Callithrix jacchus: one gene and its partners. The protein of the gene in region 1 interacts with the protein of each later gene in a pairwise test. Links are inferred from orthologs where the notes say so. Each region holds a gene or a part of one and is shown in the gene's direction. Other genes may lie near its edges.

Evidence for each region.
Region 2: the proteins of TRIM27 (region 1) and ARMC7 interact in binary tests that used the Homo sapiens proteins (3 or more experiments, as listed by UniProt). The two-hybrid records come from large-scale screens. The link is inferred for Callithrix jacchus from reciprocal best matches to the Homo sapiens genes TRIM27 and ARMC7.
Region 3: the proteins of TRIM27 (region 1) and ABCF3 interact in binary tests that used the Homo sapiens proteins (3 or more experiments, as listed by UniProt). The two-hybrid records come from large-scale screens. The link is inferred for Callithrix jacchus from reciprocal best matches to the Homo sapiens genes TRIM27 and ABCF3.
Region 4: the proteins of TRIM27 (region 1) and PRPF31 interact in binary tests that used the Homo sapiens proteins (3 or more experiments, as listed by UniProt). The two-hybrid records come from large-scale screens. The link is inferred for Callithrix jacchus from reciprocal best matches to the Homo sapiens genes TRIM27 and PRPF31.
Region 5: the proteins of TRIM27 (region 1) and FHL3 interact in a two-hybrid assay, tested with the Homo sapiens proteins (2 studies listed by BioGRID and IntAct). The two-hybrid records come from large-scale screens. The link is inferred for Callithrix jacchus from reciprocal best matches to the Homo sapiens genes TRIM27 and FHL3.
Region 6: the proteins of TRIM27 (region 1) and BMP7 interact in binary tests that used the Homo sapiens proteins (3 or more experiments, as listed by UniProt). The two-hybrid records come from large-scale screens. The link is inferred for Callithrix jacchus from reciprocal best matches to the Homo sapiens genes TRIM27 and BMP7.
Region 7: the proteins of TRIM27 (region 1) and NEDD9 interact in binary tests that used the Homo sapiens proteins (3 or more experiments, as listed by UniProt). The two-hybrid records come from large-scale screens. The link is inferred for Callithrix jacchus from reciprocal best matches to the Homo sapiens genes TRIM27 and NEDD9.

What each region holds. Positions count from the first base shown.
Region 1 is NC_133505.1:2,088,154-2,092,231, forward strand, and holds part of TRIM27 (zinc finger protein RFP), read left to right. Parts: intron 1-2,688; coding exon 2,689-2,804; intron 2,805-2,935; coding exon 2,936-2,968; intron 2,969-4,078. UniProt on the Homo sapiens protein: E3 ubiquitin-protein ligase that mediates ubiquitination of various substrates and thereby plays a role in diffent processes including proliferation, innate immunity, apoptosis, immune response or autophagy.
Region 2 is NC_133506.1:131,032,887-131,037,584, forward strand, and holds the start of ARMC7 (armadillo repeat-containing protein 7), read left to right. Parts: upstream 1-1,602; 5' UTR 1,603-2,012; coding exon 2,013-2,103; intron 2,104-2,187; coding exon 2,188-2,331; intron 2,332-4,698. UniProt on the Homo sapiens protein: As a component of the minor spliceosome, involved in the splicing of U12-type introns in pre-mRNAs.
Region 3 is NC_133516.1:13,170,225-13,174,843, forward strand, and holds the start of ABCF3 (ATP-binding cassette sub-family F member 3), read left to right. Parts: upstream 1-1,664; 5' UTR 1,665-1,681; coding exon 1,682-1,754; intron 1,755-1,976; coding exon 1,977-2,124; intron 2,125-2,265; coding exon 2,266-2,345; intron 2,346-2,857; coding exon 2,858-2,904; intron 2,905-3,121; coding exon 3,122-3,219; intron 3,220-3,312; coding exon 3,313-3,435; intron 3,436-3,591; coding exon 3,592-3,858; intron 3,859-4,158; coding exon 4,159-4,239; intron 4,240-4,322; coding exon 4,323-4,382; intron 4,383-4,481; coding exon 4,482-4,538; intron 4,539-4,619.
Region 4 is NC_133523.1:47,313,694-47,316,457, forward strand, and holds the end of PRPF31 (U4/U6 small nuclear ribonucleoprotein Prp31), read left to right. Parts: intron 1-1,495; coding exon 1,496-1,621; 3' UTR 1,622-1,914; downstream 1,915-2,764. UniProt on the Homo sapiens protein: Involved in pre-mRNA splicing as component of the spliceosome. Required for the assembly of the U4/U5/U6 tri-snRNP complex, one of the building blocks of the spliceosome.
Region 5 is NC_133508.1:74,580,482-74,585,298, reverse strand, and holds the start of FHL3 (four and a half LIM domains protein 3), read left to right. Parts: upstream 1-1,640; 5' UTR 1,641-1,714; intron 1,715-1,872; exon of another isoform or gene 1,873-2,044; intron 2,045-4,817. UniProt on the Homo sapiens protein: Recruited by SOX15 to FOXK1 promoters where it acts as a transcriptional coactivator of FOXK1.
Region 6 is NC_133506.1:52,768,858-52,772,935, reverse strand, and holds part of BMP7 (bone morphogenetic protein 7), read left to right. Parts: intron 1-2,143; coding exon 2,144-2,341; intron 2,342-4,078. UniProt on the Homo sapiens protein: Growth factor of the TGF-beta superfamily that plays important role in various biological processes, including embryogenesis, hematopoiesis, neurogenesis and skeletal morphogenesis.
Region 7 is NC_133505.1:19,409,793-19,413,870, forward strand, and holds part of NEDD9 (enhancer of filamentation 1), read left to right. Parts: intron 1-362; coding exon 363-1,604; intron 1,605-3,278; coding exon 3,279-3,368; intron 3,369-4,078. UniProt on the Homo sapiens protein: Scaffolding protein which plays a central coordinating role for tyrosine-kinase-based signaling related to cell adhesion. As a focal adhesion protein, plays a role in embryonic fibroblast migration.

The sequences.
Region 1 (4,078 bases):
TGGGAGGCCGAGGCGGGTGGATCACAAGGTCAGGAGATGAAGACCATCCTGGTCAACATGGTGAAACACTGCCTCTACTAAAAATACAAAAAAATTAGCTGGGCATGGTGGCACAGCCTGTAATTCCAGCTACTCAGGAAGCTGAGGCAGGAGAATTGCCTGAACCCAAGAGGCAGAGGTTGCGGTGAGTCGAGATCACACCATTGCACTCCAGCCTGGGTAACGAGCGAAACTCCATCTCAAAAAAAAAAAAAATCAAATATGAGAAGACTGTCTCCTTCACATTTGTGAATCCTGAAAAGAGCCCTGAGCCTGAGAATGGGCATCTTATCAAATTGATGTATCCCTGAAAAGAGTCACTAGTATGCAAAGAATTATATGAACCACAGCTCTTCTCAGTAAAATTCAGGGAGTGGGCGGCTGCTGGTGGATTAGGGATATGAGGACACTTCCATGGAGAGAGTGTAGCCTTACCGGGACCTGGGCTGAGTATAAGGGTAGTTTATGATTGTTGCTTCCTACACGTTTCACAGTCTTTTCCCCCTTCATTGTCTTTCTCTCTTTTTTTCTATAACGGGGGAAATAAGGCCTAAGAAAGGTGTGACTGACCTAGATTTACATAATTACGGATGAGCCACCTGGATTCTGGCTCTTATTTTTGCTATTCTCTGTTCCATCAAAAAGAAAGTGAGGAAGAGCTCCCTGGCAGCTGGACATGACCAGAAAGGGAGAGCTTGAAGGGGGCAGCAAGCCAGGGCAGAGTTGTATTTGCAGGAAGGATGACTAGGCGAGTAGGATGGTCCTTGGGAAGCTTATGTCTGGTGCAGGAAGTGCCTTCCAGGTGGAACCTGACTTTGAGGGAGCTGTACTTTGAAGGTGATTAAGACCCTGAATAGTGAAACCCCCTAAAGCAAAATACAGCTTGACTATGTGGGAGCATTTAAAGATATGGGGGAGGGCCTTATAGATGGGGCTGGGAGGCCTGTGTTGATAGAATCACGTTGATGGAATTGAGGTTCCTGAGGGACCCTAAGATGGAGTGGTGGAGTTTATACTAGTCCCAGCCACATGACCCAAGCAAATCTCCTGTTACCTGCTACTTCATGATGCCAGTCTAGCTCCAGCCTAACATACGCAGTTAGCTCCCTCGGACCATAGCAGTTTGTGACATTAAAGATTGAATTTGGCTGTATAAGATAGAAAACCCAAAATGTTATTGGCTTAAGGCTTAAACATGATAAAATTTTTCTTACCATAAAAGAAATGTGCAGGCTGGGCGCGGTGGCTCACACCTGTAATCCCAGCATTTTAGGAGGCAGGGCAGGTGGATCACCTGAGGTCAGGAGTTCGAGACCAGCCTGGCCATTATGATGAAACACCTTCTCTACTAAAAATACAAAAGTTAGCCAGGCATGGTGGCACATGCCTGTAATCCCAGCTACTGGGGAGGCTGAGGCAGGAGAATTGCTTGAACTTGGTGGCGGAGTTTGCAATGAGGTGAAATTGCGCTACTGCACTCCAGCCTGGGCGACAGAGCCAGACTCCATCTCAGAAAAAGAGAAATGTGCAGGTAGGTAGCCTGTGACTAGTATGGTAACTGCAGCGATCCTCAGAGACTCAGGTTTCTTCCCATTCACTGTTCTACCATCCCTAAGGTGTGGTTCTTGTGGAGTCCACAGTAGCTGGTAGAAAGCCACACAAGAGGAATGAGATAAGTCACATGACATTACTTTTTTTTCTTCATTTTTCTTTTTTGTAGAGGCAAGGTCTCATCATGTTGCCCAGGCTGGTCTTGAACTCCTAGCCTCAAAGCAGTTCTCCCACCTCAGCCTCCCAAAGTATTGGAATGGCAGGCATGAGCCACTGTTCCTAGTCATGTTACTTTTTTAAGCAGACTTCTCAAAACACCATGAGATGCATCTTACCTCTCATAGGCCGGAACTCAGTCACTAGGTCACATGCAGCGATGAGGGACTGGGCAGCTGTGAGCCATTAAAGGTGAAAGGTGGTAGAAGGGGTATTGGGTGGCCAACTGGCAGTCTTTGCCATAGACAGCCTTGCAGGGCAAGGGAATTGGGTATTGTCCCCCACAGTGCCTTTCTGTCTGAACATGCCATTCTCTCCGTATTTGGGAACCTGAGAATTCGGGGTAATTGCCCACCATAAATATCAAAGATTAGTGCTTTCCGGCAAAGTCAGCCTCGTATGTAATTCAGTAAATTGTTCTGGGTACTGAATATTTGGAAAGCTGTGAGCTACCTGCTTTGGGGGTTATAAGAATGAGTGCAGGCCAGGCGTGGTGGCTCACACCTATAATCCCAGCACTTTGGGAGGCTGAGGCGGGTGGATCATGAGGTCAAGAGATCAAGACCATCCTGGGCAACAAGGTGAAACCCCGTCTCTACTAAAAATACAAAAATTAACTGGGCATGGTGGTGTGCGCCTGTAGTCCCAGCTACTCTGGAGGCTGAGGCAGGAGAATTGCCTGAACCCAGGAGGTGGAGGTTGCGGTGAGCCGAGATCGCACCATTGCACTCCAGCCTGGGAAACAACAGCGAAACTCCGTCTCAAAAAAAAAAAAAAAAGACTGTCCATCTGTGCTGGACAGTTTAGCTTAGGCAGTCCTGGTTCTTAGAAGGTCATGGAATTGAGGAAAATAATTTATTTACTCACATTTTTTCAATTTAGGGCTGAAAGAATCAGGATTCCTGAACCTTGGATCACGCCTCCAGATTTGCAAGAGAAAATCCACATTTTTGCCCAAAAATGTCTCTTCTTGACGGAAGGGCTAAAGCAGTTCACAGGTAACGTGCGGGGAGATGTCATGAGGGAGACGGATTTATACTCAATGTCTGCATATTCCCTGATGAAAAGATATATTTTCCAGCCAGATAGTGGGATGCAAACTGAATATTTTCTTGTTTTCTTTTCCTAGAAAAAATGCAGTCCGATATGGAGAAAATCCAAGGTAAATTTATCTACCTCCTGGGCTTTTGATGTAAAGTTGCTTGGAAAGAACATCTGCACTGAAAGTGCGGAAAATGGGATAAGGCTGCTACCCATTGGCCAGCCTTCCCTGATGTTTCACTTCTTCCCTGTGGCCTTAATTTTCTCAGTTAACAGCCTGTTAACTGTATTTAGTCAGTTCTCAGTCTGCATTGATGGAGGCAAAAAAATCAGCCACCCAAAAATTAATCCACAATTAATTTGATTTTTCAGGAAAGAGTATGAACAAAATCTGTCCTGGTTACTTGAGCCAGTATTTATCTTTGTAATTTACTGAGTTCCTACTGCTTGTGGGCACAAGCGCCAGCTCCTGTAGGAGGAACTGAGCCGTGCTGACGGGCACATGCTTAGGAGCGGGCAGTCAGGAGTCCAGCCGCCTGGGCTCTGGGCCCAGCTGTACCACTTAGTAAGGATTCTACAGGCAGTTTTCTCATCGTAACATGAGGACAATAATAGTTCTTACCTCCTAAGATACAAGAATAGGGTTACATTTCTAACACTTGTAGAATACAACTAGACACATAAGTCCCATATGTGAGTTTATTAAATAAGGTGTTCTAGGCATTTGGAGAAGTTTCTCCAAATTTAAATTCTTCTGCTCACGATCCACATTCAGTAAAGGGTTGGCCATATATTGAATTCTAAAATTCCTGGGCAGTCTGGTGGATTCTGAAATCCTTTTTTTTTGAGACGGAGCTTCGCGGTTGTTACCCAGGCTGGAGTGCAATGGCGCCATCTCGGCTCACTGCAACCTCCGCCTCCTGGGTTCAAGCAATTCTCCTGCGTCAGCCTCCCGAGTACCTGGGACTACAGGTGCGCACCACCATGCCCAGCTAATTTTTGTATTTTTAGTAGAGACGGGGGTTTCACCATGTTGTCCAGGACGGTCTTGATCTCTTGACCTCGTGAGCCACCCGCCTCGGCCTCCCAAAGTGCTGTGATTATAGGCGTGAGCCACCACGCCCGGCCCTGAAATCCTTATATGTAGGTAAACGCTTTTCTTAATTATTACAAATAACAAACTTCCATAATGTTTAATAATTTTCTGTAATGTATATGCTGAGCTCTTACT
Region 2 (4,698 bases), on another chromosome or scaffold:
ATGCATGGCATAGTAAACTATATGGGTATTCAGGGAGGTAAAGGAAGACAAAGGCTTTAAGGGAAAAATTAGGATTACCTACTTGTTTTGAGATAATTATCGCTAGGTAGAAGGATTCATAACAAGGGTGACCAGTTCAAAGTTGGACAGGCAGTTGCTGGGCAGATGGCCGTGCAGAAGTGGTTTTGTGCAAGTTTGTGATGGCCTTTGTGCAACGTGGTGGTTTTTGCAGTCTTTGTGATAGTTTTATCAGATATTTATGCATGAGAACTCTCTCGTCCTGGATTTCTTGAACTCTGTCGGGATTTTGTTGGTTTTTTTCTTTTGTTTTGTTTTTTTGAGACGGGAGTTTGGCTCTTGTTACCCAGGCTGGAATGCAATGGCGCGATCTTGGCTCACCGCAACCTCCGCCTCCTGGGTTCAGGCAATTCTCCTGCCTCAGCCTCCTGAGTAGCTGGGATTACAGGCACGAGCCACCATGCCCAGCTAATTTTTTGTATTTTTAGTAGAGACGGGGTTTCACCATGTTGACCAGGATGGTCTCGATTTCTTGACTTCGTGATCCACCCGCCTCGGCCTCCCAAAGTGCAGGAATTACAGGCGTGAGCCACTGCTCCCGGCCTTGTTTGTTTTTTAACGCAAGTGACTCCACTTTTGTACTCTCAGGACATGCACAGCCTAAGCCACCTATACCACATTGTCAAACACGATCGGAGAGTGGCAAGGCCACCTCCTTCCCTGGTGCTTTGTTCCCTGTGACCACGAGTTAATGCAGCACACACCTGCTTCCTGAGAATCCCCGACAGGGAACCGGCCGAAGGGCTTCAGCATCCAGAAAGCCCTGAAAGGGCCACATCCAAGGCTCCTCCTCCGGCTCCCCGGTGCTTCCCCGGGCGCGCGCCGTCCACCCGACTGACGAAAAGCCCCAGGACATAAGCCAGTCCCCTTGATTTCTGTCCAGAGGTGGCGGACCCACCTCGGGCTGGGATGGAGGGCGTATCGGGGTCGCCAGGCTTTTTGCAAAAGGGGCAAAGGACCGATGGGGGGCACAGAGAGCTGACGCCCGCGCTCCGAAGGGCCGTCCGGGTCAAGGAGGCTGGGCCACGCCCCCGCCAGCCGTGGGGGTCCTGGAGGTGCTTCTCCCTCGACGTCCTGCCACATGGGTTCTGGCAGACTCCGCTGCTCCTCGCGGAAATCCAGCCGCCTGACGTGGGCGTCTTACCTTCTGGGCCACGTCGGGGCGGCTGAGGGCCCCGGGGAATGGGCGGGAGAGTGGGAAAGGTGGGGCGGGAAAGCCGAGCGAGGCCCTAACCCGCCCTCCTATCGGCCGGGGCAGCAAGTGGGTTTCTTTCTTGCGTTCAGATTTTGCAGTAATTTGCAGCTGGAAACGAGATAAGGGAAACCAGGCTGCTCCTCGCAGTAAACCCACCCACGCCCGCACCTGTCTCAGGGAATCCGCTAGCAGCGGGCTGCAGCCCAGGCTGAAGGGCTTCCGCATCCAGAAAAAACGTAACCGCGCGGAGTACGTGCGCCAAGGAGTTCGTCGACGGCCCCGCCCCTGTCCCGCCCTTTCCTCCTCGTGCCCGCTCCTTCCGCTATATTAAGGGCGGAGACAGCGCGGCTTCCGCTGGGAGCTCGGAACAGATCCCGGGATCCGGGATCCGGGATCCGGGATCCGGGACCCGGGATCCGGGATCCGGCACCCGGCACCCGGCACACGGCGCTGGTGCCCCCTCTGCAAGCCCCAACTCGTAGACTGTTCCTCGTCGCCCGCGCCCCAATTTCGATTTTCAAACCCAACTCCCACAGGATTCTGAGACCACGCCCCATCTCCCACGTCCCATTTTCAGCGGCAAATTACTGTAGAATCTGAACTCTAGAAAGAAACCCGTTTGCCGCCCCCCATCTTCCCTCTCCACACAGGTGGAGGGCAGGTGAAGGTCTCGCTCGGCTTTCCCCTGCACCTTTCCCACCCTCCCGTCCGTCCCTGGGGGTCCTCTGCCACACCGGCCATGGCCCAGAAGCCGAAGGTGGACCCTCACGTCGGGCGGCTGGGATTCCTGCAGGCGCTGGTCACGGAATTCCAGGAGACCCAGAGCCAAGGTGAGAGCCACGGTGGGGCCAGGGGGGCAGGGTCTGCTGTGACCGCCGCTCGGACCTGGCTCCAGTGCCGCTTTCCCGTTGCAGACGCCAAGGAGCAAGTCCTCGCCAACCTCGCCAACTTCGCTTATGACCCCAACAACTACGAGTATCTGCGGCAGCTGCAGGTCCTGGATTTATTTCTCGATTCGCTGTCGGAGGAGAATGAGACCCTCGTGGAGTTTGCTATTGGTAAGGGCGGGGTCGGTTCCCTAAAGGTCTAATGGGCCGGGGTGAGATAGGTGAGTTAGAAGTGAGTCGTTGGGGCCGGGCGTGGTGGCTCACGCCTGTAATCCCAGCACTTTGGGAGGCTGAGGCAAACGGATCACTTGAGCTGAGGAGTTTGAGACCAGCCTGGGCAACATGGCAAAATCCCGTCTCTACTAAAAATACAGAACTTAGCCGCTCACAGTTGTGTGCACCTATAGGCCCATGGAGACTGAAGCAGGAGGATTGCGTGAGTCTGGGAGGCAGAGGCCAAAGTGAGCTGAGATTGCTCCACTGCACTCTAACCTGGACAACAGAGCGAGACCATGTCTCAAAAAAAAGATGTTTTGTTTTGTTTTGAGACAGTTTCACTTTTTTTCCTCAGGCTGGAGTGCAATGGCAAGATCTCGGCTCACTGCAACCTCCGCCTCCCAGGTTCAAGTGATTCTCCTATCTCAGCCTCCTGAGTAGCTGGGATTACAGGTGCCCACTACCATGCCTGGCTAATTTTTGTATTTTTAGAAGAGATGAGGCTTTGAACTCCTGAGCTCAGGTGATCCACCTGCCTTGGTTTCCCAAAGTGCTGGGATTACAGGCATGAGCCACCATGCCCAGCCCAAAAAAAGATGTCTTAAAAAGAGCAATTTCAGCCACTGCACAGTGGCTCACACCTATCCTAGCACTTTGGGAGGCTGAGGCTGGAGGATCACCTGAGCTCAGGAGTTCAGTAGCCTGGCCAACATGGTGAAACCCTGTCTCTACTAAAAATACAAAAATTAGCTGGGCGTAGTGGCGTATCCTGTAATCCCAGCTACTTGGGAGGCTGAAAAAGGAGAATGCCTTGAACCCTGGAGGTGGAGGTTGCAGTGAGCTGAGATCATGCCATTGCACTCCAGCCTGCCCAATGGGAGCAAGACTCCATTTCAAAAAAATAAAATAAAAAATAAAAGCAATTTTTTGACCAGGCACAGTGGCTCACACCTGTAATCCCAGCACTTTGGGAAGCTGAGGTGGACAGATCACCTGAGGTCAGGAGTTTGAGACCAGCCTGGCCAACATGATGAAACCCTATAGGTAACTAAAAATACAAAAGTTAGCTGGGCATGGTGGCGGGCACCTGTAATCCCAGCTACTTGAGAGGCTGAGGCAGGAGAATCGCTTGAACCCAGTAGGTGGAGGTTGCAGTGAGCCCAGATGGCACCACTGCTCTCCAGCCTGGGCAACTACGAGACTCCATCTGGAAAAAAAAAACGGAAACAAAACCAAAAAAATCCCCAACAATTTCAGGCAGGAGAGGTGGCTCAAACCTGTAATCTCAGCACTCTGGGAGGCTGAAGCAGGCAGATAACTTGAGTCCCTGAGTTCAAGGCCAGCCTGGGCAACATGGCAAAATCCCGTCTCTGCTATTAAAAAAAATTACAAAAATTAGCCTGTCGGCCGGTTGTGGTGGCTCACACTTGTAATCACAGCACTTTGGGAGGCTGAGGCGGGCAGATCACGAGGTCGGAAGTTTGAGACCAGCCTGGCCAACACTGTGAAACCCCCATCTCTACTAAAAACACAAAAATTAGCTGGACATGGCGGGGGGCACCTGTAATCTCAGCTACTCTGGAGGCTGAGACAGGAGAATCACTTGAACCCCAGAGGTAGAGGTTGCAGTGAGCCAAGATCACACCATTGCACTCCAGCTCCAGCCTGGGCAACAAAAGTGAAACTCTGTCTCAAAGAAAAAAAATTAACCTGGCATGGTGTCACAGCTACTCAGGAGGCAGAGGTGGGAGGACTGCTTGAGCCTGGGAGCTTGAGGCTGCAGTGAGCTAGGATTGGGTCACTGCACTCTAGCCTGGGTGACAGAACAAGATCCTGTCTCAAAAATAAAAGTAACTCATATTTAGTGTTTTCATATCAAGAGAAGTAGAGATGGCAATCTGTAACTTATAGCTTCTGTAGTTGTGATCTTAAGACCTACTGAGTGATTCACTGGGCAATATTTATTGGGCACGTACTGTATAAGCAAGCTACTGTTCTAAATGCTGGGGTATGGTGAACAAGTTAGGGGAAGGTCTTTTCCCTCCTGGAGCTTACATTCTAGTAGTGGGGGAACAGCTGGTCAGCAAACAAAAAAGCTGATGCTCAGAAGGAAATAAATAGAGTAATGAGAGACAGCAGCGGAAGATGGGGGCTACTTCAGTCTTGGCCATCATGGGAAAGGCATTTTAGTGGGGACACGGCATGGGCAAAGGCCTTAAAACAGGAAAGAACCAGAAGGAAAGCTGATGTGGCAGGATCATTGTAGTGAAGTGGAGAATGGCACAAAAAGAGTTTAGAGAGCTCAGTGGCACCGGAGGTTGC
Region 3 (4,619 bases), on another chromosome or scaffold:
TTCGAGACCAGCCTGACCAACATGGAGAAATCCCATCTTTACTAAAAGTACAAAATTAGCCGGGCATGGTGGCATATGCCTGTAATCCCAGCTACTCAGGAGGCTGAGGCAGGAGAATCACTTGAACCTAGGAGGCGGAGGTTGTGGTGAGCCGAGATCACGCTCAAATTTTAAAATCGATGTTTCCCTTTAGGTCTTGCAATTTTGTCAAAGAAACCAGAGATCTGTAGTTCCTCCCATCAGAATTTGCCAGTTGTCCCCATGAAGTCACTTAACATAATCCTCTTTACCTGTATTTCCTGTAAAATGGTTAACCATCAGGATTGATTGATTCCTCATGATGGCAGGTGTTTTGTGTTTTTTTTTTTTGACGCGGAGTTAATTGTTGCCCAGGCTGGAGTGCAATGGCGCGGTCTCCGCTCACCCCAACCTCCACCTCCCAGGTTCAAGCGATTCTCCTGCCTTAGCCTTCTGAGTAGCTGGGATTACAAGCATGCTCCACCATGCCCTGCTAATTTTGTATTTTTAGTAGAGACGGTATTTCTCCATGTTGGTAAGGCTGGTCTCAAAACTCCTGACCTCAGGTGATCAGCACTCCTCGGCCTCCCAAAGTGCTGGGATTGCTGGTGTGAGCCACTGGGCCCGGCTGATGGCAATGTTTTTAATCCAAAGGGATGAATGGGTGGTAATGTAATTTTGGGTGCCACTTTTGGGGCCGATTGGAGGAATTTTCACGTTAAATATACAGCAATAACGTCATCTTGGAGGAAATTCCTAGCTTCCTGAGGGAATCGGTGAAAGGAAGTAGCCTTTTACTGGCATTTACTGAGATTCAGGGTGCGAAGAAGTCGGCTTTGGGGGTAGGTAGAGAATAAATACCAGTGAATTTATACAAGCCACGTTGTCCTGGTTTTCTTGCCCTTTGGCGGTGGATTTGGTCGTGCCTTGGGGTGGTGGAAGAACTGAATGGGCTTAATTCGCAAAGGTCAGCTCAATTATGAAGTATGAAGACAGGTCGCGGCGGGCAGGCAGGTGGCGCTGACCACCAGGCTGAGGAGCCCGTAGGATCCGGGGGCCCGCGAAAGCAAAGCACTGAGGTGGCGGGGTTTGCTGGAGAGTGACAATGTGCGGAAGGACCTGTTACTGCGGGAGCGGGAGCGGGAGCTCAGCGCTCAGAGTCAGAGACGAGGGTGAATCAGCAGCTCTGGGAGGGCTCCAAAATGGGCTTGGCTGAGTGCGCAGCCACAGCAGACGCGCCTCGAGAGAGCGCATAAAACCCGGCAAAGCCAAAGTGCGTTATCAGCCGCTGGTCTCTTGGGAGGCTCCCACCTGCCAGACCACCAGTGCCTCGCGCCCAGATAAATCTTGAGCACTCAGCCCCCGCCCCACCCGCCGCTCCTGGAACTCCACCTTCCAGAAGGCAGCGAGAACCGCATGTGTGGCTAATCTGTAAGCCGGAAAAGAGTTGCGCACGCGCAGAGAGGGCGGCCCAGCGCAGACTCAGCGCCTCTCCTCTGGGCCCCGCTCGCCCCGCCCACCGGGCTCCTTGCACTCCGCTCCTTTCTTGTATCACCGCTACGCATGCGCCTTGCAAGGAGGGGCGAGATTTCGGGGACAGGGCCGGGGGCGGGCCTAGGCCAGGGGCTCACAGCGACTGCGCGGACGGGTTCTCAACTGGAACATGGCGACTTGCGCCGAAATCCTGCGGAGCGAGTTCCCCGAAATTGACGGACAGGTCTTCGACTACGTGACGGGTAAGCAGAACTGAATCAGCTGGCTGAGGACACCAAAGTGGAGGCCGGGGGAAAGCCTAAGCGAGCGTCGTGCCGGGGACTGTTGCCAGGCCTCTCCTCGGCGTGACCTCTTGTCCCGGGGGCCGGTTGGGTCTGGAACCTGGACTGGGGCCGCTGTTTGGGGAAACTGCTTGTGTGTCCTCCCTACCTGATACCTTCCTCGTTCTGCCACGCCCTGCGCAGGCGTCTTGCACAGCGGCAGCTCGGACTTTGAGTCTGTGGATGACCTGGTGGAAGCTGTGGGGGAACTATTGCAAGAGGTGTCCGGGGACAGCAAGGATGACGCGGGCATCAGGGCCGTGTGCCAGCGCATGTACAACACTCTGCGCCTGTATGTGCCGGGCAGTAGGGGTTGATGGGGGCGAAGGGAGGGCGAACGGTCCGGAGACAAGAGGTGGGGGAAGAAGGTCTGACGGCCGTAGAGCTTTTCCCTCAACTGCTAACTTTGCGCTTTCTCTCCCTACCTACATAGGGCTGAACCACAGAGCCAGGGAAATAGCCAGGTGCTACTGGACGCCCCCATCCAGTTGTCAAAGATAACGGAGAACTACGGTGAGAGTGAGGGGAGATTCAACTAACTGCCCTCTGTCCTTTTCTCTGCCCCTACCCATCTGCCCCCTGCAGCTTAGAGCTCCTACTGCGTCTTTTCCACAGGACAGGGTTGTAGGAGCTAGTTGATGTCCTTACCGAGGGCAGAAGAGTCCATGGTCGGGGGGAGGCTGTTGTTGGAGGGTTCTCCTAGCCCTTGGGTATGGTAGGAAGCATAGGAGCCTGGAACTGGACAGACTTGGTTTCACTCGCCCATTTTCCAGCTTACTAACCAGCTGCATGATCTTTTTAGAGTTGGTTATCTGTCCCCACCCCCTCCTATGCTTCTGTATTCTTTTACGTGAGGTTTGTTTGTTTATGTTTTTTAAGTGCAGGGAAGATAATAGCCGTCTATCTCCAGGATTATAAAGCTTTGTAGAAAACGTCTGTGTCTGTGCCTGGTTCATATTAGTCACTCAAAGTGTTAGTTTCCCTTCCCTCAGGGAGAAGGTGACTGCTTTTCTTATCGCTTACAGACTGTGGAACCAAACTTCCAGGACTGCTAAAGAGGGAACAGTCCTCGGTGAGGAGGAGGAAGCAAGGGAGGGAGTGTGTGATGGGGTTGGGAATGGACTGTCTAATTGGAGGATCTTTTGGGGGGATTTCTGACTGTGTCTTTCCCTGAGCCTTTGAGTCCGTTCATCTTGGGTAAGTTAAGAGGGTTTACTTGAGGTGTTCTCTCTTCGGGTTCCTTACTGAGCCTACACCCTAGAGTGAAGTCAATGTGTTTGGATCCTTAGACAGTGAATGCAAAGAAGCTTGAGAAGGCTGAGGCTCGACTTAAGGCAAAGCAGGAGAAGCGGTCAGAGAAGGACATGCTCAAGACCAGCAACCCTCTGTGAGTGGAGAAAGCATGGCTCAGAAGAGAGCAGAGTAGTGTCTGCCTGGACTGGTGGGGAGCACTAAGAGCTGTCCATTTCTCCCTTTAAAGAGTCTTAGAAGAGGCATCAGCTAGCCAGGCAGGCAGCAGAAAGGAGAGTCGATTGGAATCATCTGGCAAGAACAAATCCTATGATGTGCGAATTGAGAACTTCGATGTGTCCTTCGGGGACAGGTGAGGGAATCGTGGGGGCGGGACTTGGCTTTCTTTTTCTAATTAGGGGAAAATTTAGAGAGATGAAATGGGGCTACAAACAATGTTAGGTTTATCGTTAACTTTCTGTGCACCTGTTTTTAGAGCATCTTTGGTCTCCTTTCTCCACCCCTGCAGAGTACTGCTGGCTGGAGCTGATGTGAACCTGGCATGGGGCCGCCGTTATGGGCTGGTGGGGCGGAATGGGCTGGGGAAGACCACGTTACTGAAGATGCTGGCCACCCGGAGTCTCCGGGTTCCAGCCCACATTTCCCTGCTGCACGTTGAGCAAGAGGTTGCTGGAGATGACACCCCTGCCCTACAGAGTGTGCTGGAGAGTGACAGTGTGCGGGAGAGCCTGTTACGGCGGGAGCAGGAACTCAGCACCCAGATTGCTGCTGGCAGGTGAGGGCTTCAGGCTAGAGAGTAACTAGCAGCTGCTGGCCCTCACAGAGTGCCTGCCCTGCTGGAATAATCCACCATTTGCATGTGCATACTAGTAATCAACAGAGCTTAGAACTTGGCACTCTGGCACTCAGCAGCCCTTGTTCTTTCCACAGTGCCCATTGCCCTCATTCCCTTGAGCAGATCCTTCCTCTATTCTCTTCCTCTTGTAGCCAGTGGCCTCTTTCCAGCTGTATAGGGCACAGGACATCCTCCTAGACTGCCCCCACTTAGGCCATTTGCTGTTTCTCCTCCCTCCAGGGTGGAGGGCTCTGAAGCTGCAGAACTGGCAGAAATCTATGCCAAACTGGAGGAGATTGAGGCTGACAAGGCACCTGCCAGGTATATCAAACTCCCCTCCCTCCAGATTTCCTTTCCCTTCTGTGGACTGTTCCACTTGACTTCTTCAGTTTCTTCCCTCCTAGGGCATCAGTCATTCTCGCTGGGCTTGGCTTTACCCCTAAAATGCAGCAGCAGCCTACCCGGTGAGTGACCCTTGCCATTCTTGGCTTTGAACCCTGTTGACTCAGCCCCTTTCTGACCTGATGAACACCCACCCCTAATGTGGCCCCATCATTCTTTAGGGAGTTCTCGGGTGGCTGGAGGATGAGGCTGGCCCTGGCCCGGGCCCTGTTTGCTAGGTGAGTCTTCTGGGCCAGTGTATGGAGCCCTGTGGAAGATTGGTCTTAGCTTTTGGGAGGTGGCAGTGAGTTGCTGCCCTA
Region 4 (2,764 bases), on another chromosome or scaffold:
GGGGGTGTGGTGAAGACATGCCAAAGGCATCGGCAGCCCCTGGCACACAGCAAGTGCTCGAGGTTAGCAGAGACGAGAGGCGCACAACAGTCCTCATGAGCGGGGACCGGGGCTACATCCCAGGGACCCTGTTTTTCTCTGTGGGGCCATGAACGGGTTACATTGCTCAGCCTCTAGGACCTCAGTTTGAAATGGCTAGAGTGGTTAAGGTAACCTCAGGACCCCACTCGAAACAGTTCCCAGCTAGGTGGGCTTGGGTGTCACGTGTGGGTCTGGCCCCCAGCCCAGTCAGCAGTGAGTGGCTTGGAGCACGGCAGTCACCGCACCATCGGCACCGCGGTTTGCCATCCACAGAGCAGGGCGAGCCTGCACCGTGGCTGTGGGACAGTGGGGAGCTCATCTGCTCAGACAGCGGCTGTCGGTGCTCTCGGCTCTGGGGGTGAAGCGGTGAATGAGAGAGACAAGTCTTGCCTTCCTGGAGCCTGTGGGTGGCTGGGCACAGACAGATCAGTAAGATGCCCAGTGTGGTAAAAGGCAGAAATACCAGGGAGGGAAGGACGTGGGAGGTGGGACAGGGAGGCCTTCGTCCTAGCACAGCCAGGGAGGGCCTCACCTTTCCCTGCCTCCACTCCCATGTTATGAGGTGTTCAGTTCTGAAAAAGGAGTGCACAGAAGGCACTTGGTCCTGCACTTGCTGGTGGAGCCTGATGACAGGTCCTGTGCTTATTTTCTCTTTTCTTTCTTTTTTTTTTTTTTTTTTGAGACGGAGTCTGACTCTGTCGCCAGGCTGGAGTGCAGTGGTGCAATCTTGGCTCACTGCAACCTCCGCCTCCTGGATTCAAGCAATTCTCCTGCCTCAGCCTCCTGAGTAGCTGGGATTACAGGCGCCTGCCACCATACCCAGCTAATTTTTGTATTTTTATTAGGGACTGGGTCTCACCATGTTGGCCAGGATGATCTTGATCTCTTGACCTTGTGATCCACCCACCTTGGCCTCCCAAAGTGCTGGAATTACAGGCTTGAGCCACCGCGCCCAGCCTGTTATTATTTTCTTTAGAGACAGAGTCTCGCTCTGTTGCCCAGGCCTTGAAAATATTTAGGAAGTTCCAGCCAGGTGCCGGCGTCTATCGCTGGACACTGTGATCATCAGTAGTGTTGGTGTGATTTGTGCTGGGACCTCCAGCCAGCCACATCCCCCAGAGACTCAGTTTCCTCATCCAGAAACTGAGCAGGATTGGCTGTCCTCAGGCACTGGTGTTTTTAGCAGCCCCTGGGGAACTTGTTAAAAACCTAGGTGCCCTGGTTTCTCCCCACCCTCTCCCCCCAGACCCACTGAGGCAGAATCTTCCAAGGCAGGGCGACTCCAGGGACTGGCAAACTGTCCCATGCCCACCCAAGGCCTGAGTACCACGGGGAAAGGCCTGGGGGGCTCTGGCGTGTCAGTTGGGGCCTTCTCCTTGCCCAACACATCATCCTCTCTCCCTCACCTGCCTAGGGCCTGGAGATTGTGAACCCACAGGCCGCGGAGAAGAAGGTGGCTGAGGCCAATCAGAAGTATTTCTCCAGCATGGCAGAGTTCCTCAAGGTCAAGGGCGAGAAGAGTGGCCTCATGTCTACCTGAATGATAGCGTGTGCCCAACGTGGCTTCCCACTGAAGGGACGTTGAAGTCCAGGCCTTCTGAAGGGCTGGGATGGGGGTTAGGGGTTGTGGCAGGGAGAGCCTTCCCTGCCGCCCACCCGGTGCTCGACTGCCCAGGGAGGGGCCTCGGAAGAAGCCTGGCCCGGCCTCCTCCAGGATGGAGCTCACCGCCCTGGATGGGTTAGAGCAGGTCTTCATGCCTTGTCTTTTTTATTTTAACTGAGAAAGGAGATACTTTTTTGAAGAGAGTGCAATTAAAAAGCACATTATCAAGATCTGTCCTTGGGGAGTGATCATTTTTCAAACAGCTGGGGCAACTAGAATAGTCAGAGCTTCGGAGTTTGGGGAAAAGAGCTTCGCCTCCGGGGCGCACTCCCTCCCCTGTTCCTTTCTCACCAACCCCCTGGAGAACCTCAGTCGCTTTGATAGCAGACGGTGTGGCAGCCGACACCTGAAGATCTCAGCGCAGGCTGACCAAGGTTGCGCTGGCACCTCAGGCCGGTTGCCTCGCCTTTCCGAGCCTCCACAGCTACGCCCAGGCACCCAGGGCTGGAAAGAACGCGCAGAAAGCACTTAGCACAGGGCTCGCGTCAGCACCCAATAACTGGGTCCTGTTACTGGTGTTTTTTAGAGATGAGGCCTCTGTCGCCCAGGCTGGAGTACAGTGATGTAATCATAGCTCACTACGGCCTCAAACTCCTGGTTTCAAGCTGGGATTACAGACGCATGCCACAGTTCCTGGTTAATTTTGAAACTTTTTATAGATGGGGTCGCACTCTTACCCAGGCTGGGCTTGAACTTCTGTGCTCAAGTGATCCTTCCACCTCAGCCTCCCTAAGTGTTGAGATTACAGGCTTCAGCCACTGCGTCTAGCCTCTTACTATATTTTATTTATTCATGTTTTTGAGATGGAGTCTCACTCTGTCGCCCAGGCTGGAGTGTGTGATTTCAGTTCACTGTGACCTCCACCTCCCAGGTCCAAGTGATTCTCTTGCCTCAGCCTCTTGGGTAGCTGGGATCAGGCACCTACCACCAAATTTTGTGGGGGTTTTTTGGTTGTTTGTTTTTTGAGACAGAGTCTCATTCTTTTTTTTTTTGAGACGGAGTTTCGCTCTTGTTACCCAG
Region 5 (4,817 bases), on another chromosome or scaffold:
TCCCATCAGCCCAGAGCTGACCTCCTCTTGGTACCCACTCTACCAAGACTGAGTACTCTTCACTGCTTTGCCCTGGGCTGGGAGTTTCTTACACCTGCCAGATAAATCCCAGAGAGGCCAGGTGCAGTGGCTCACACCTGTGGCCCCAGCACTTTGGGAGGTTGAGGCAGGCAGATAATGAGGTCAGGAGTTCAAGACCAGCCTAGCCAATATGGTAAAACCCCGTCTCTGCTAAGAATATAAAAAAATTAGCCCGGCGTGGTGGCATGCACCTTTAGTCCCAGCTACTTGGGAGGCTGAGGCAGAAAAATTGCTTGAACCTGGAAGGTGGAGGTTGTAGTGAGCCAAGATCACGCCACTGCCCTCCAGCCTGGGCAGCAGAGCGAGACTCTGTCTCAAAAAAAAAAAAAAAAAAAAAAAAAAAATCCCAGAGAAAGGCCCCATCCATGGGCTGGATGCTCACTGCCTGGACTCTAGAAAGCAGATGCCTGTGATCCCAACTGAGGATGTTAGAGGGACACCCATACTGAAGCAGTGTCTGTCATCCATTCAGTCATCAGATGTTTATGATGTACCGGACCCTGGGTTAAGCACTGAGAAGGCAGTGGTGAACAAAAAAAGAGTCCTGCCTTCATGGCTCTTACCATTTAGGCAACAACAGCAATCATAAACAAGCAATGATTTAATTTTGAAAGGAAACCAGGCCTGGAAGGTGACTTGGGACCCAGGAACCCAGGCATGACACAGAAATGGGAGGGAAGGGTTCTCAGGAGCCCCAGCCTGGGAGGGTGTTAGTTCCTCCTTGAGAGCTCAGCTGCACCCAGTCTGGGGTGTGGGGAGGTCTCTGTGCACCTGAATCTTCACTCTAGATGCTAAGGTTATTCCGGGGTTGGTTTGCTGTCTCTTGTTTCCCCAAACAACACAGTAGAGCCTCCTGCCTCCCTCCCTCCCCACCCTTCCAGACCAAGGCTATTTATTCCTAGTGACAAGCCTGAGGATGGGGGGTGGGTAGCCTCAAGGACCTAGAGGGGCCTCGTGTCCCTAGCAGGCGCCAGTCCTTCCTCACAGACACAGGGAGGAAGGAAGCCAGCGGTTCAGACACTACAGAGGTCCCCTCCGCTCTCCTCCACCACCCCTGTGGCGCCCCATCTTCTCACACTCCTCACACCTCTCCCTAGAAGCCAAAGATCATGGGGCCAAGGATTAGGGTCTCCCCGGAGCTTCAAAGGTCAAAACTATTCCTGGGCACTGCGGAAACCCAGGCAAAGCAGGACTTCTCAGTGTCAGGAGGCTGCTGGAGATGGGGAGGTGGTTACCCTGTTTTTGTCACTCAAAGTTGTGGAATAAAACCCTTTGAAGGTCAAGGCCCTATGGTGGGGAAGGGTCCTCTCTTTGCCCCATGTTTTCAGAGAACACCTTGGTACCCGCTGACAGCCTCAAGACAGCAGAGTCAAAACCTCCTCCTCCAGCCTGGATTAAGGCCGGGCTGAGTGTCACCCCTAGGGCTAAGGTTGGGGTTGCGGGGAGATCCGAGGGGGCCAGAAGTCTTTTCCCCAATGGACTGTGGTCTGCGGGGTCTGGTGCCGCCGGCCTGAGATGGAATACAGCAGTCTCCCTCTGGCAGCTGGGGATGGGGGTGGGAGGGGAGGACAGCAGCGGCTGCGGGGAGAGGACAGGGGCTGGTTCCCGGCTGCCCGAAGGTTGGGAGAGCCAGGTTAGGCCGGGAGGGAGGAGGGGGCCGGGCCGGCAAGCGGCCGAAAGGGAGGTGGGGGCGGGGTCTGGCCCCCGCGGCGGGCTGGGGGGCCGGGGGCGGGGTCCGGGCGGGGCAGGCCGGCGCGGACTTCCTCGGGGAGGGGTTGGGGCCGCTCTCCCACTCGCCCACACGGTCCGCCTGCAGTCGGCAGCCTCGCCGGCAGCTCGCTCGGCCCCCGCTCGGCCCGGCCCGCAGGTAGGAGCCGCCGAGGAACGCGGCGCCCGGTTCCCGGCCCCGCCCGCGCCCCGCGCGCCCCGCTCCCGCCGCCCGCCGCCCGCCGCCCGCTTCGAGGTGAGCGCCACGCCGACCCCGGCTCCCAGCCCCGGCCGTCCTCCCCCTCGCCCGGGCCGGGGAGCGAGCGGACCCACGGAGGGCTGAGGCCAGCCGCGGCCCCGGCCCCCTGTCCCCGCTGGGCTCTGGCGGCGGGCGCCCGGGACACGCCGAGCCCGGGAGACCGCCTGCCCGGACTGGACCCCTCCGGGCTGCCCGGCGGGACAGGGGCGGGGGCGGCAGCGAGAGTTGGGCGGGGGAGGGGGGCTAAGTTTGAAATAGAAAAGCCAGAGAGAGACAGACCGAGCAGGAGCGCTGGAGAAACTGAGGTTCTCGGAAAGCCTGGTGGAGCGAGAGACCGAGACAGGCAGGGACTCGAGGCACAGGAGGCTATCGAGATCATTGAAACAAGGACACACTGGGCGTACGGAGTTACCGGTGGACAGACCAGAGGCATGGGGGCCGACCCAGGCTTTGTGGAGCATTTTCAGAAAAAGCTTACGTAGAACCCCAGCGAACACATTGCTAGGGCCCTTCTCTGGGCCTTGGAGGTGCCCTGCGGCGTGGGTGTCAGTGGCATCATGCTGAGTCTGCTCTCTGAGGCCTGCAGAGACACCAAGAGACTAAAGACAGAGACATTCAGGTATGCAGAGATGGCGAAAGAGACCTGGATGCAGAGACAGAGAAAGGGAGGTAGTAGGCATTGAGATATTCAGCCGTGTAGACAAGAAGAGACCAAGACTTGAGATCCACAGAGGCATGGGCCCATGGGGGGACAGCCAGTCAAGATACAGGGCCGTCCAAAACCTAAAGACAGCAGCTGAAGTGTGCCCAGACTGACATGCTCAGTGGAGCAGAGACAGAGACTTAATGGAGGCAGAGAGACCTAGGTGGGCTGACAGCTTCCAAGACAGCCCCTGACATACCCAGGCCTGAACCATTGGGGACACAGAAACTCTGAGCCCACTGATCCCTCAGGAGGCAGAGGCCCGGAGACAGTAAGTTCTAGATCAAGAAGAGCCCCGTGCGTACACACACAGCCACCAGGACAGCCCTAACTTATTTTTAAACTCAAATCTTGGACGGGCTGCCTCAGCCCTGGGGGACTGGGGTGAATGAACTGTTCCTCTCCTGTCCTCAGAGCAGCTTCGGGATCCTGCTCCCCAACCCCCTTCCCTAAACTTCTCTGACTTTCAGGCCCCATGGGGGAGAGCAGAGCTTGGGGCTGGTGCCTGCTTGCAGAGGGTGAGGGTTGGGGGAGTTGAATTTCTCCCTTCAAGTCTCCTGTCAGCTTCTAGAAGGTGGGGGAGGGGTCTGTTCTGATCCTGACTCACAGCTGTGGGACCTGGCCAGGGTCCTCCTGGACAGTGGGTGTGTTGGGGGTGGGGGACAGAAGGGTTGAATGGTTGGCATGGGTCATTGGAAAGGCTTCTGGGTGCCTTCCAATCACAGGGCTAGCAGCTAGGGAGAAGAGCCAGGCTCTGCTGCATCTCCTGTCACCCTGCCCTTAAAAGCTGACCATCTCCTTCATCACCAGGGCAGCATTTTTAGGGAGACAGCAGAGCTCTGGGCTGGGAGGCAGGGGATCTGGGTCCTGATACCTGAGTGATCTTGGGCATGACCCTGCTCTGTTCCTCAATTGTAAAATGGGGATACATTTTACACAAAAAGCAGGAAGGAATAACACAAAAGGCAGGAAGGAATGATACTCCGTCCTTCCTGCCTTTTGTGAGATCTGATGAGATGGGATAGGCATGAACTTTTCGAGTGGCAAAGCAGCATGCAGGTGTCTAACACCCGTGGACCTGTGTGAGAGATCTCAGATTCATGCTTACTAGAGTCAGGCTGATGACCAGGCTGGAGTGACCAGGACACTGGCCCCACTGGTGTCTTCTGCAAGTCCCATGGGCCTGGGGCCTCCTGTTCTCTTCCTGAGCCTACACTGAGAATGTCCAGGTCAAATTTCAGAACAGGCTGGGCACAATGGCTCATGCCTGTAACCCTAGCACTTTGCGAGGCTGAAGCTGGAGGATCATTTGAGGCCAGGAGTTAAAAGACCAGCCTGGGCAACACAGTGAGACACCCATCTCTACAAAAAATAGAAAAACCTAGCTGAGCATGATGGCACATGGCTGTAGTCCCAACTTCTCAGGAGGCTGAGGCAGGTGGTTTGCTTGAACCCAGAAGTTACTTTTTTGTTTTTTGAGACAGAATTTTGCTCTTTTCGACCAGGCTGGAGTGCAATGACACAATCTTGCCTCACTGCAACTTAGGCCTCCAGGGTTCAAGCATTTCTCCTGCCTCAGCCTCCGGAATAGCTGTGATTACAGGTGCCCACCACCATGCCCTGTTAATTTTTGTCTTTTTAGTAGAGATGGGATTTTACCATGTTGACCAGCTGGTCTTGAACTCCTGACTTCAGGTGATCCAACCACTTTGGCCTCCCAAAGTGCTGGGATTACAGGCATGAGCCACCTCACCTGGCCGAGCTCAGAAGTTTGAGGCTTCCATGAGCCATGATTGTGCCACTGCACTCCAGCCCTGGCAACAGAGTGAGACTCCAACTCAAAAAAAAAAAAAGGCTGAGCCAGGCTGGCCAGTATCACAAAACTCTGTCTCTACTAAAAATACAAAAATTAGCTTAGCATGGTGGTGTGCTCCTGTAATCCTAGCTATTCCGGAGGCTGAGGCAGGAGAATCTCTTGAACCCTGGAGACGGAGATTGCAGTGAGCCAAGATCGCATTACTGCACTCCAGCCTGGGTGACAGAGTGAGACCCTGTCTCAAAAAAAAA
Region 6 (4,078 bases), on another chromosome or scaffold:
GTCTCCATTTCTCCTGCCCAGGCTTCTTCTGGATCCTTCCTTACTGGGTACTCCTGCACAGTCTCCGTGGCATTCCTCTGACCCTCAGTGGAAGACAGAGGCCACCTAGGCTCAGGCTTCACACCGCTCGTCTGGCTGCATGTTTTCGCCTGGCAAGCTCATCCAGTCCTGGCTTTAAACCCCATCTCCAAGCTGGGGACGCCCAAGCTTACATCACTATCTAGACCACTGCCCCGAGCCAGCATTTATTGAGCATTTAGGGTATGCAAAGCTCTGCCCTGAGCCCTAGCTGAGCATTAAGTGACAGAGGCAGGGTTTTGAACCCAGGATGTCTGGCCCGGGCCCCACTCCCTCCCTCACTAGCCCAGAGCTCTTCTTTTCCAGTTGATCCATTGATCAAGCCTAGGCCAGATCTCTGCAGCCCACCTGACAGCTTCCTTTTGGTGTCAAGTAGGGATTTCAGACAATATCTACTAAAGCAAACTGCATTTTGTCTTCCACCCTCTATTTCTCAGCTTATGCTCCATTGCCTCTGTTTCCCTACGTTGGTAGACAGCCCCTCCCTTCTTCTGGGGCCTTGGGCCAAAAGCATGCCAGTCTCATAAGAGTCCCCTTTTTCTCACACCTTTTATAATCCCTCCCAAAATTCAGTCCCAAATCTCCCCTTTCCTAGTTTGGAGGTTGTGTGCTGGTTATTTGAAATGTCACCTTTGGGGAAAACTGGATGAAGGGCACTTGGGACCTCCCTGTACATCGTCTTTCAATGAACTGTGAATCTATAATCTTTTCACAACAAAAAGTTAAAACCAAAATAAATTCTAAAGATGGATTTTAAAAGTGAACTCTTGAGGATCTAGCCATTTCTCAACAGCCTCCCTCCCCACCATCCTGGGTCCAGTCTCACGCCATCTCCCATCTGGACAATGCTGTTGTCTCCCTTTCAGGTTGACTCCTGCAGTCGGCTCTCCAGGGATAGGCTGAGTGGCCTTATAAAAACCACTGTAAGTCCCACCCTCATGGTTCTCACTTCTTGCAGAGTGCCTCAGTGTCCTGACCAGGGCCCTGGATGTGAAGTTCCACCCACTGGGTGGCCTGAAACACAACGCTTTATTCTCTTACAGTCTGGAGGCGAGTGGTCCAAAGTCGAGGCCCACAGGGCTGTCCCCTTACAAAGGCTCTAGGGAGGAGTCGCTCCTTGCCTCTTCCAGCTTCAGGGGCTCCTGGCAATCTTTGGCATTTCACAGCCTCTGTCTTCCTAGGGCTGTCTGCGTCTGTTTCTTTATGTGGCCTTCTTATGAGTCAGCAGATTAAGGCTCATTTTAATCTAGTATGAGCTTAACTGACAACAGCACATCTGCAAAGACCCTGCTTCTAAATGAGTTCACATCCTGAGGTTCTGTGTGGGTATGAATTTTAGGGGACAGCAGCAACGTGGGACAGTGGGCTGAGGTGGTGCTCGTGTTGCTCACAGGACCTGACCTGACCCACGCCCCTCCTGCCCCTCCCAGTTGTTCCTGCTACCCGCCCCTGCTCCTTGAGCACACCCTCCCCTCTCCTGCCTCTGGGCATTCACCTCTGCAGTTCCCTCTGCCTGAAATACACTCTTCCCAGACATCCAATGGGCCCCCTCGCTCACTGTTACCCAAATCTCTGCTCAGGTGGCCCCCGTAGTCATTAGAGCTGCTTGCAGCTGCTCCACCTTCCCTGGCACAGAGCAAGATTGCCCCCCAACTCCCTGAAGTTAGGCAGATACCATGACCTGCTCTGGCCAATGAAATGCGAGTGACACTTACGGGGTTCACTAACTTGCCACCTTCCGCAGGCATCATCCTGGCTCCCCACCCCTAATATTCCCCTCCCTGCCTTCCCCACTAGCATGGAAACCCAGAGAACAGGACGTTTTCTTGGCTGTGTTTGCAGTTGTGGTCCAAGTTTCTTAAACAGCACATGGCCTAGAGTGAGTACTCAATAAATACTGGCAGGATGGAGGAATAAGGAGTTCACGAATGAACCGGAGGCACGGTGTCTTGGCAGCCCCGTCCTGCTCTCCGCCCTCCCGTGACCACTCTCCCCTGTAACCGCTCTCCCTGTAACCGCTCTCCCCGTAACCATTCTTCCGTGTACTTGGCTGCTTCCTGTCCAGGGCAGAGCATCAACCCCAAGTTGGCCGGCCTGATCGGGCGGCATGGGCCGCAGAACAAGCAGCCCTTCATGGTGGCTTTCTTCAAGGCCACAGAGGTCCACTTCCGCAGCATCCGGTCCACAGGGAGCAAACAGCGCAGCCAGAACCGATCCAAGACGCCCAAGAACCAGGAAGCCCTGCGGATGACCAACGTGGCAGGTACACCCAGGTGGGAGGGATCACAGATGCCCCACCCCACCCCCCAGGAACCCTGAAGGGCCCCAGCGGGACCAGGCAGGGGAGCAACTCAAAATCCATTCAGCTGCTCAGCAGATGGCTGTGGAACAAATAGCAGGAGGAAAACCCCCAAGTCCCTCCCTACACAGAGCATCTTAATTCTGTAAAAGTCATAAATTAGCTTAGAAATGCTAGTAGCAAAACATTTAACGCAGCACCAAGCATGTAGATATTTAAATAGACAGAATAATGGCTGAACTTACAGCTACACAGAGATGAAGGAAGACTCTGAAGGAGGGAGAGGAAGAAATGGGGAAGTGGAAGAGTTTGCTGTATCTTTATTTCATAAAGTGAAAATGTTTTAAATTCATGGCAAATTTTAATACTTGATAAATATAGATGGTAGGTGTTTGTTTTGATTTTGTTTTTGAGACAGAGTCTCGCTCTGTCACCCAGGCTGGAGTGCAGTGACGCGATCTCAGCTCACTGAAACATCTGCTTCCTAGGTTCAAGCAATTCTCCAGTCTCAACCTCCTGAGTAGCTGGGACTACAGGTGCGCACCACTGCATCCAGCTAATTTTTGTATTTTTAGTTGAGAAGGGGGTTTCACCATATTGGCCAGGCTGGTCTCGAACTCCTGACCTCAAGTGATCCACCTGCCTCGGCCTCCCAAAAATGCTGGGATTACAGGCATGAGGCACTGCTCCTGGGCAGGTGGTAGGTTTTAAAAAATATATATGATTTGGGATACTTTTCAATTCGTTTGAAATGTTTCTCTACTATATGTTTTTTTAAAAAATTAAAGATAACATTTTCGTTGCAAGCAATTCAAGTCTTAACAGTAAACATAAGTAAAGCGAACGCACTGTACAAAGGAGACTTCAGCCCCTCTAGAGCAGACCTCTTTCAGCCCGTCAGGTTGTGTGGTTCTTGAGGTTCTGGGGTAGATGACCTCCCACTTCACAGAGGGGAAAACTGAGGCTCCAAGAGGGTACGTCGTTTGTCTAAGGACACAGTGTAGGTAAGTGGCAGCCCTGGGATTGGGTCCCTGGGGTCTGGATGAACCCTTGCCCCAGGTACTCTTCCCTGTTGGGCTTTGCTGGGGCCATCTGCCTGGCCAGGATGAGCTTTGGTGTCCTCAGCAACTCCATCAAGTGCTTTCTGACAATTCTCCAGGCGTTTGTGGAGCCCCCACATGGGCCTGGCTTTGTCCCAGGCACTGGGGCTGTGGCTGTGATGAATCCTGTTCCGCATAAGCTGATTGGGGAACTGATATTGACAGCTTCTTGTGACCTGGGGCTGCTGGAATCTCAAGAAGGTGTGTTCTGGTTCTGGGCTTTGCGGGTGGGCTGACCTGGAACAGCCCTGCTGGCACTGTGGGCGTGTGTGGACAGCCCTCCCACACACCTTGCCCAGCTTATACCCCCTGCACATGCAGTGCCAGGTCTGCCAGAAGATGCAACTGGACTCCTCCCAGACTAAAACCAAAGTGTCGAGTCAATGAACCTGACAACAAACCATTTTCCAGTGGGCTGGATGAGTGACACCCCCCAGATCCAAGGAGCCAAGTTTGCTCCCATCCCCAATCCCATCCCACTGGACAGGGAAGGTGCTGCCCAGAGGTGCCATTTCTCTGGCTCCTCGGGAAGCCAGTTGCAATGAGCAGGGCAACAGCCTCTCCAAGATGCCAGTGTCTTAATTCCTGGAACCTGTGAATA
Region 7 (4,078 bases), about 17 Mb from region 1:
CAGCTGCTGTGACGACCAAAGAGACAGGGGGAGACCTCTGGTCTTACTCTGCCTCTCGGCACAGATCAGCAGAAGAAGGATACCCAGGAGGTGGTCAGAAACACAGGACTAGAACACAGGAGTAAGCAATTTAGCCAGGAGGGTTCCACATATGAGTCCGCACCAAGAATGTGGGGGTGGACACACTTGTTAAAGGACAAGGGAAGTGACAGCAGAATCGTGGGGAAACGTGGAAGTGCCTAACATTGGGGGCAGCGGGGGGCGACCGAAAAAGTGCCAGCAAATAGGACGGAGAACATGGGATCGCATGTTCCCATGAGCCAACTCGATAAATAGCGTTTTGCTGTCTACTCACTTTTCAGGTCTATGCCATTCCACCCTCTGCTTGCCGGGATGAAGCAGGGTTTAGGGAAAAAGACTATGACTTCCCCCCGCCCATGAGACAAGCTGGAAGGCCGGATCTCAGACCAGAGGGGGTTTATGACATTCCCCCAACCAGCACCAAGCCAGCAGGAAAGGACCTTCATGTAAAATACAACTGTGACATTCCAGGAGCTGCAGAACCGGTGGCTCGAAGGCACCAGAGCCTGTCCCCGAATCACCCACCTCCACAACTGGGACAGTCAGTGGGCCCTCAGAACGACGCATATGACGTCCCTCGAGGCATTCAGTTTCTTGAGCCACCCGCAGAAACCAGTGAGAAACCAAACCCCCAAGAAAGAGATGGTGTTTATGATGTCCCTCTGCATAATCCACCCGACGCTAAAGGCTCTCGGGACTTGGTGGATGGGATCAACCGATTGTCTTTCTCCAGCACAGGCAGCACCCGGAGTAACATGTCCACGTCTTCCACTTCCTCCAAGGAGTCCTCACTATCAGCCTCCCCAGCTCAGGACAAAAGGCTCTTGCTGGATCCCGACACAGCTATTGAGAGACTTCAACGGCTCCAGCAGGCCCTGGAAATGGGTGTCTCCAGCCTAATGGCACTGGTCACCACCGACTGGCGGTGTTACGGATATATGGAAAAACACATCAATGAGATACGCACGTCGGTGGAGAAGGTGGAGCTGTTCCTGAAGGAGTACCTCCACTTTGTCAAGGGAGCTGTCGTAAATGCTTCCTGCCTCCCAGAACTCATCCTCCACAACAAGATGAAGCGGGAGCTGCAAAGAGTCGAAGACTCCCACCAGATCCTGAGTCAAACCAGCCACGACCTAAATGAGTGCAGCTGGTCCCTGAATATCCTGGCCATCAACAAGCCCCAGAACAAGTGTGATGATCTAGACCGGTTTGTGATGGTGGCAAAGACAGTGCCCGATGATGCCAAGCAGCTTACCACAACCATCAACACCAATGCAGAGACCCTCTTCAAACCTGGCCCTGGCAGCTTGCATCTGAAGAACGGGCCGGAGAGCATCATGAACTCAACAGAGTACCCACATGGTAGCCCCCAGGTACAGCTGCTGCATCCTGGTGACCACAAGGCCCAGGCCCACTCCAAGGCACTGCCCCCGGGCCTGGGCAAGGAGCAGGCCCCTGACTGTAGCAGCAGTGATGGTTCTGAGAGGAGCTGGATGGATGACTACGATTATGTCCACCTACAGGTAAAACAACCAAACTCATAAAACACCTACGCTCACTCACAAGCAGGGAGCCTGGGACGGATACCTGTGAGGCTGTCGGGTTGGACTACCAAAGGAGAGAACCGGATGTATTTTTTTTTTTTAACCTGATGAATGTTAATCCACGTGGTTCATAAATTGGAGGGCGTGTTGTAGAGTAGGAAGAACACTGGACTGAGAGTCCTGAGTACTCACTCAGCTCTAGTCCTTTCTCTGACACTTACTGTGTGACCAACTTATTCAACCTCCTTGGGCCTTCATTTCCTCATGTGCAAAATGAATGGCGTAAGGGTTTGGATTAGATCCCACTGATATATCTCAGGCAAGAGGAGACTCACCAAGTAGGATAGCAGGCTCTCTAATAATAATACCAGCTCCACTTCTATTTGTGTTTTAGGTATGGTTCCATATAACATTTTATTTGGAAAAAAAAAAAAAGTTTTCATCATTAAGAAAAAGAGTAGAAAACCTTTCCACTAGAGATTTTCCAAGGTCCCTGGTAGCTACTTTGTGTGTGTGTGTTTGTGTAATTGCTTTAAAACTTAGCCCCATCTCAGACTTACCTAGAGGACCACTGCGCATTCGCTAGTTGTCCCTGGAGCTTAATCTATGTATGGGACATTGGACTGTCAAGTTGGCCTCCTACAAGTGGGAATTCCAGCAAGTTCCGAGTTGACCTGGGATTCTGACAGTTGTCCCTTCCACTTTGAGGGATTAAAACATTCTACCAAGATCCATTATTTAGGACTAAGGCTTATTATCTTTTTTTTGAGACAGAGTCTCACTCTGCCACCCAGGCTGGAGTGTAGTAGCGCCATCTTGGCTCACTGCAGCATCTGCCTCCCGGGTTCAAGCAATTCTCCTGCCCCAGCTTTCTGAGTAGCTGGGACTACAGGTTTGTGCCACCACATCAGGCTAATTTTTGTATTTTTAGTAGAGATGGGGTTTTACCATGTTGGCCAGGATGATCTTGATAGCTTGACCTCGTGATTCGCCTGCCTCAGCCTCCCAAAGTGCTGGGATTACAGGTGTGAGCCACCGTGCCCAGCCTAGGCTTACTCTCTTATTCTACCATTCTTTTAATTTGACTGAGAGTCACAGATTATACTAAGAACTACATAACTATTATACTGAATTCCCTTGAGTGCAAAAAAGTGTGGGAAGGAGAACTGAGCCTCACCTGGTGCTGAAGTAGGGAGTGGAGAGAGAGAGGATGGAGGCATTGAACATTCACCTTACTGCTTGTCTAAGTCTGCACAGTGGGCATTACTGCTTCGGAGCAGAGATCTATAGATGATTTGAGGGAACTAGAAGTGAGAAGTGGACCACATTTAGACCTGTGTTTGGAGGTTTACAGGTTCACATAAAATCTATTAGAAAAGAACCCAGCAGAATAGTACATTTATATAGGAGATTTGAAGGGAATCAGGAGTAGATCTCTGGAAATGGTAAGGTTGCACAGAAGGCTGGCACCCTGTATGGGAATGGGTTTTATTTTTCTGCCATCCCTGTCTAGGATTCACAGTGCCTCACTGGGTATTAGGTGTTGCCAAGGCAGTGGAAAATATAGAGTATTTACTCATCTGTCAATGAATTTGTTAGCATTAGTGAATCACAGTGATGACATAATATGTTCTTTATGTTGAAAATTAACAGGGTAAGGAGGAGTTTGAGAGGCAACAGAAAGAACTATTGGAAAAAGAGAACATCATCAAACAGAACAAGATGCAGCTGGAACATCATCAGGTAAGTTCAATCACGTTGGAAATATTTTCCACCTAGTACTAAGGAAAAGTATAACTTCAAGAGATTATGATTTTGATTCTTCCAGCTCACTGGCGGGAATCAGCTCCAAAGCACAGAATGAGGTTTAAAAGCAAAGAGGTGGTTTATGTCCTTGCTAGTTCATCTGGGTGTACCTGGGTTATTTCTAAAAGGCAGGTTTTTTTTAATGCTAAAGCTGCATATCTAACATATGAGGACTATTTGCGTTAAGGCATTTGGTCCCAAGAAACAAGACCCATTCAAGCTAACCTGAGCAAACAGGTTCATAGCAAAGCCGTAGTAAGGGAATTCAGTAACAGAAAATGAAGATAGAGCCAGGTCTGGTGAGAACTAGAACTGTAAATTCTCTCTCCTTCTTGTACTTCCTTTGCTTCTTTCTATATATCTACTTCAATCTCTTCTATTTTCTGGTTTCCTCTGCTTATCTACTCATTTGGCTCCCCCGTAACTTTGCAGAACTCATAAATGGACACTCAGAGCTTTTTCTATAGATGACCTCTCATCTCAGCTTCATCTTCCAATGGTTAGCTCCCTTCTGTGGTTCATCGGATTCCTAAGAAAGAGTCTGATTGGGCTATTTTGATTGGGCCATTTCTCTCTCTCTCTCTCTGTGTGTGTGTGTGTGTGTGTGTGTGTGTGTGTGTGTGTCTACCTCTCTGTCTTTCTGTCTG